Linked DNA regions of Saccharomyces cerevisiae S288C. The gene in region 1 interacts genetically with each later gene. Each region holds a gene or a part of one and is shown in the gene's direction. Other genes may lie near its edges.

Region 1 (3,291 bases):
CTTGGAGTTTGCTGAGGAATAGCGGCATTATTATCATTCATACCAGTCATATATTTGAGGGGTAATGTCGAAATAAAATAAAATCTGATTACTTTTTTTTTGATTACAGGGAATAGTAGTCACAATACTTACTACTAGTTAATATCTAGCGGTAAATGGAGAGTAAAAAAAGGTTGAGAGCCTAATATTAGAAAGCTACCTTAAGCTTTCCAGTTTTTATTTGTAACTTAAAAACGCTTAAAGGCTTAGTACAACTTATTGAACAGGACTTTGAAAGTCCAAATTTTATTCGATAATGTTAAAGTGAATAACAACAACCCAGCAATAACAACAACAACAACAACACAACAGGTTATAACGAAACCGACAGGAAATCGTCAAAAAAAAAAAATGATAAAAAATTCTTAAAATCGAAACTCCAAGTAAAGGTCTATATTAGGGTTTAATAAACTTTTGCTAAAAAAAATTGCCGAATATCTCTATAAAGTAGTATATTTTCTTCTCCGTTTCCTCTTCCCTCTTTAAAAGCTGTAATATTATATATACTATTTGTATAGCGGAAAATGCGTGAGATGGCAAGAGCTCGGCCTGTTAACATATTAGCACGGGGAGGCCGATGTTGATTTGATGAAATGACGTGCCAGGTGATTTTTCCATTCGCCATGCCGGGGGTTGAGAAAAAATTTTTTCTCCGTCGGAGATAAAAAAAAAAAAAGAAAAGAAAAATTAACGACCCCAGTGAGGGTTGAACTCACGATCTTGCGATTAACAGTCGCACGCCTTAACCAACTTGGCCATGGAGTCATTTTATCTTGTGTCACTTTTACAGAAAAAGTATTACTAATATATGTTGAAAATTTTCCAACTACCCTTCGAGTATGATTTTACAACTGCGTCAAAGAAACCATGCAAAACAGTTGACTAATATCGCAACTGTTTTTTTTTCTCATTGCCTTTGAAAGAATGGAACACTCCTCACCACGAGGTTCTAAAAACTATACCAACCACAGTTTGGACGTACATCTGAAGATGGCATCCAATAGCAGCGGTATTCATTTGTGCGGGCTGGATTGAAAAAAGCATCACAATTATTGGGGCGTTTATTGTAGTCTTTGAACCGAGATAATCCAGGTGTTAAATATTGGTTGGATATGCATGCAAAATTTTCAGCAAAAACGATGGAAGCAGAACAAACAGTGCTTATCTTTGCTTCTGCTCTTGTGTAAGTCTAAAGGACAATATCTTTGTTATTAAGCACTCTAGCTGCCCACTGTATAAACAGAACTTTTGACAAAAAGTCTAGCCAGCGATGATATAATTTGCCTGCACAAAGAGTTTACTATTAGTAGCACAACTAAGTCATCGAAACGCTTTTAGTGGACAGATCTAAAGTTACAAATATTTAGGTATGCGTAAAAGGGTAATTAACCTAGTATCAAATGAGTCGAAGCCCCGACCGCGCCCAGAAGAAAAGCCATTATCATTTAGGTGACGCCTTGTTCTAAGGCTTAGTTAATAATATTCCTTTCAACCAAACAATGACCTTCCAAGGTGTTCAGTAAGTGGCTCTCATTTTAAGTTAGTTGGGTATTATACGCCTTGTATCCGGGGCTATGCTTAGGTTAAATAAGAATACTGCTTGAATAGCTCAAGTTTACAAAATAATTTAAAAAGAGTTTATGAACTTCAATAAAACTTCGAACCTGAAAATGTAAGTCTGTGTTCTGTTTATATACACCAGTCGGTTGTCTATACCATATCAAGACAAGAAACAAAACTCCGTATCTGCATGCAGCCTCATTTAGACAACAACAGTAATAATGACGATGTCAAATTGGATACATTAGGGGAACAAAATGTGTTATCATCCGCAGAAAATATCACTTTACCTGAAGACACCTTTAAATCATATATGACCTACTTGCTGTACGAGATGGCTCATTACAAACCGATGATATTTTCCTTCTTGGCACTTTCAGTTTCAATTTTAATAGTTGTGATCTTTCATAATGTTAAAGCTTGTGATGTCGTTTTTGGTTTTTCAATTTTCGTCACTTCTATTTTGTTTTTGTCTACGTTGATTCCGTTTAATGTGTATATCTCGGATGAGGGTTTCAGAATTAAGCTTTTGCTGGAAGTTATCACCCACAGGCCAGCGGTAAAGGGAAAAGAATGGAGAGCAATCACAGACAATATGAATCAATATTTACTTGATAATGGTTTATGGAGTACTCGCTATTACTTTTATAGTAGTGAAAGATGCTACAAATTCTTCAGATTTCTTGTGAAAGAAAAACCCCCAGGTGTGAATGTAAATTCATCGGTAAAGGACGCCACAAGTACGCAGATAGATGCACCAGCAAATGAGGCTTCAAATGAGGTAATAAAATGCTTTAGTTTCAGTTCTGACCCAATATTCGAAGCATACTTTGTTAAAGCAGTAGAAGTTGAGAAACAAGCACAACAGGAATATTGGAGAAAGCAATATCCTGACGCCGATATACCATGAAATATAAATCTTGATAATTTTATTTAGCACTTATACTGAGCGATGTACCAAACCGATTCTAAATTCACAATTCATAATGGAACTTAATCGTTTATACAGTATAAACAAGTAGAAGTATTTTGACAGAGATTAATAAATTTGTGCCACACGAAGGGGCTTTCTCACAGCTAATAATATTGTACAAACTAAAGGATAGAATATGCTGTGGTGCAAGTTGGGTGCACATTAACGTATTGTCGTGCATTCCCTATCATTTTTAAGGGAAGGAAATTAATTCTAATGGCTAGTTACTTACTCTCAGGACTCCATAATTAACATGTAGCAACTGAAAAAAGAAATTTTGCTGTGAATGACTTGTGCTCAAGATAAGCTTCTTTTTCTGAAGGTTTGTTTCTTATTGCGAGCACTTTTTTCTGTATATAATGTAACAGTGAAGAGCAGCATCTATATGTTAAAGTGCTTCATGTATGGTTAAGCAGGCTTTGCGGCTAAAAAAAAAGGAATGCTTATTACCCTTTTTTCCATACTTTTGTAGCTACCTAGTTTCTTTCTCGAATGTTTCGCGATTGTTTCCACTGCAATTTCCGCATAAAACAAATATCAAAGAAAATATACGAGACAGAAAGATTTGGAGAACATGATTTGATGTCTTCAGCTTTCATTATATTCAACATTTTCACGCTTTGTTCTTGTTACTATTCAATATTCATGGCCAAATTCCCACAAACCTAGATAATTCTAACTATTTTAATAAACCCACACATAAATAGAGAAGCATTACG
Region 2 (3,632 bases), on another chromosome or scaffold:
CCGTTAAGACTGCTAGCAAGGGAAGTGTACGATAGATTTCATGCAGAAAAGATAAGATGCAATTTACTGACTGGAGAGGAAGTTATTCGTGATTTGGATGATAGAGGAAATTCAGCAGGGCTGACATCAGGCACAGTAGAAATGGTGCCAATAAATCAAAAATTTGACGTTGTTGTTCTTGATGAAATTCAAATGATGTCTGATGGGGATCGTGGCTGGGCTTGGACGAACGCGCTTTTAGGTGTCGTTTCCAAGGAGGTCCATCTTTGTGGTGAAAAGAGTGTTCTACCTTTGGTTAAGAGCATTGTTAAAATGACTGGCGATAAATTAACGATTAATGAATATGAGAGGTTAGGAAAGTTAAGTGTTGAAGAAAAACCTATCAAAGATGGCATCAAAGGTTTGCGCAAAGGAGATTGCGTCGTTGCGTTTTCAAAGAAGAAAATATTGGATCTCAAGCTAAAGATAGAGAAAGACACCAATTTGAAAGTTGCTGTAATTTATGGCTCTTTGCCGCCTGAAACACGTGTTCAACAAGCCGCCCTATTCAACAATGGAGAGTATGACATAATGGTAGCATCAGACGCTATTGGTATGGGTTTAAACCTGTCTATTGACAGAGTTGTATTCACGACAAATATGAAATATAATGGTGAAGAACTAATGGAAATGACTTCTTCTCAAATCAAACAAATAGGTGGTCGTGCGGGAAGGTTCAAATCTAGATCTGCCTCCGGGGGTGTTCCTCAGGGTTTTATCACCAGTTTCGAATCAAAAGTTTTGAAAAGTGTAAGAAAAGCTATTGAAGCACCTGTGGAGTATTTAAAAACTGCGGTTACATGGCCTACAGATGAAATATGTGCTCAACTAATGACACAATTCCCACCAGGAACGCCGACCAGTGTCCTGCTGCAGACTATTTCAGATGAGCTAGAGAAAAGTTCTGACAACCTGTTCACGTTATCTGATTTAAAGAGCAAACTGAAAGTTATTGGCTTATTCGAGCACATGGAAGATATCCCATTTTTCGACAAGCTGAAACTAAGCAATGCGCCCGTGAAGGACATGCCTATGGTCACAAAGGCGTTCACCAAATTTTGCGAAACAATAGCAAAAAGGCATACAAGAGGCCTACTGTCATACCGATTACCTTTTAACCTACTGGACTACAATTGCATACCGAATGAGAGTTATTCATTAGAGGTTTATGAGTCATTGTACAACATCATTACTCTATACTTCTGGCTCAGCAACAGGTACCCAAACTACTTCATTGACATGGAATCTGCTAAAGATTTGAAGTATTTCTGTGAGATGATTATTTTCGAGAAACTTGATCGATTAAAGAAGAATCCTTACGCACATAAGCCCTTTGGTTCTACAAGAGGTCACCTCTCATCTTCGAGAAGAAGATTGCGTACATAATCTACGATATATCCTGTAAATAGAAACAGCTACACTGCTTGAAAGCCTTAACATGATACATTTCTGGTATGATGCCATTGTTGTGCCCTGCCGGGTTTATCGTTTCCTAACAGGCACGTCACTTATAACGAGGTGCCTGTCGTTTACCGCCCAAGCCGGTTTTTTCGCTGGAGAGTACGGTACTACTAGCCCACCACACGTTCGTGGCCAGGTTGATAGGCCACCGTTGAGCAAAGGGCAGTAAAATATATAAAAGAGGAACAAGCGCTTCCATTAAGAGCACTGCTAAGCCTACTCGTTTTCTAGTTCTCTGAAAAAAGGTAGCCTAAAACAAGCGCCATATCATATATATTTATACAGATTAGACGTACTCAAAATGTCTCAGAACGTTTACATTGTATCGACTGCCAGAACCCCAATTGGTTCATTCCAGGGTTCTCTATCCTCCAAGACAGCAGTGGAATTGGGTGCTGTTGCTTTAAAAGGCGCCTTGGCTAAGGTTCCAGAATTGGATGCATCCAAGGATTTTGACGAAATTATTTTTGGTAACGTTCTTTCTGCCAATTTGGGCCAAGCTCCGGCCAGACAAGTTGCTTTGGCTGCCGGTTTGAGTAATCATATCGTTGCAAGCACAGTTAACAAGGTCTGTGCATCCGCTATGAAGGCAATCATTTTGGGTGCTCAATCCATCAAATGTGGTAATGCTGATGTTGTCGTAGCTGGTGGTTGTGAATCTATGACTAACGCACCATACTACATGCCAGCAGCCCGTGCGGGTGCCAAATTTGGCCAAACTGTTCTTGTTGATGGTGTCGAAAGAGATGGGTTGAACGATGCGTACGATGGTCTAGCCATGGGTGTACACGCAGAAAAGTGTGCCCGTGATTGGGATATTACTAGAGAACAACAAGACAATTTTGCCATCGAATCCTACCAAAAATCTCAAAAATCTCAAAAGGAAGGTAAATTCGACAATGAAATTGTACCTGTTACCATTAAGGGATTTAGAGGTAAGCCTGATACTCAAGTCACGAAGGACGAGGAACCTGCTAGATTACACGTTGAAAAATTGAGATCTGCAAGGACTGTTTTCCAAAAAGAAAACGGTACTGTTACTGCCGCTAACGCTTCTCCAATCAACGATGGTGCTGCAGCCGTCATCTTGGTTTCCGAAAAAGTTTTGAAGGAAAAGAATTTGAAGCCTTTGGCTATTATCAAAGGTTGGGGTGAGGCCGCTCATCAACCAGCTGATTTTACATGGGCTCCATCTCTTGCAGTTCCAAAGGCTTTGAAACATGCTGGCATCGAAGACATCAATTCTGTTGATTACTTTGAATTCAATGAAGCCTTTTCGGTTGTCGGTTTGGTGAACACTAAGATTTTGAAGCTAGACCCATCTAAGGTTAATGTATATGGTGGTGCTGTTGCTCTAGGTCACCCATTGGGTTGTTCTGGTGCTAGAGTGGTTGTTACACTGCTATCCATCTTACAGCAAGAAGGAGGTAAGATCGGTGTTGCCGCCATTTGTAATGGTGGTGGTGGTGCTTCCTCTATTGTCATTGAAAAGATATGATTACGTTCTGCGATTTTCTCATGATCTTTTTCATAAAATACATAAATATATAAATGGCTTTATGTATAACAGGCATAATTTAAAGTTTTATTTGCGATTCATCGTTTTTCAGGTACTCAAACGCTGAGGTGTGCCTTTTGACTTACTTTTCCGCCTTGGCAAGCTGGCCGGGTGATACTTGCACAAGTTCCACTAATTACTGACATTTGTGGTATTAACTCGTTTGACTGCTCTACAATTGTAGGATGTTAATCAATGTCTTGGCTGCCTTCATTCTCTTCAGGCTCTATTAATTTTAACCGTTATAAGTTCCTTTTCTCCCTTGGAAGCAAACATCAACTGCCTTAAAATCTGGTGGCGAGGAAAGAGGAAATGGCATGTACTAATGATGGTCCTAATAAATATCCCGAAATTGTGAGTGTTAAGCACCTGTTCCAACATTCGGGATCCAAGCATGAATTTAGTGCTGGTAAACGATTTTCAAAATCCATTGGTAAAATATTCAAACGAAACTCTGCTTTGAAAACTTCTAGAACTGAAACGGCAAATCATAAAATGGAATTGAAAAAAAGAGAGGGTGTTACCTTATTGCCACCTGTCCCAGAATCATTATTACATAAACTCAATTCTTGGT

Evidence for each region.
Region 2: mutations in DFP3 (region 1) and ERG10 together harm fitness more than expected from each alone (negative genetic interaction), as found in Saccharomyces cerevisiae (one large-scale study listed by BioGRID).

The regions. Positions count from the first base shown.
Region 1 is NC_001135.5:125,229-128,519, reverse strand, and holds DFP3 (DUP240 family protein), read left to right. Parts: upstream 1-1,789; coding exon 1,790-2,509; downstream 2,510-3,291. Other genes in the region: serine/threonine protein kinase SAT4, read right to left, coding at 1-50.
Region 2 is NC_001148.4:496,295-499,926, forward strand, and holds ERG10 (acetyl-CoA C-acetyltransferase), read left to right. Parts: upstream 1-1,801; coding exon 1,802-2,998; downstream 2,999-3,632. Other genes in the region: ATP-dependent RNA helicase SUV3, read left to right, coding at 1-1,425; SMA1 (Sma1p), read left to right, coding at 3,371-3,632. UniProt on the Saccharomyces cerevisiae protein: Acetyl-CoA acetyltransferase; part of the first module of ergosterol biosynthesis pathway that includes the early steps of the pathway, conserved across all eukaryotes, and which results in the formation of mevalonate from acetyl-coenzyme A (acetyl-CoA).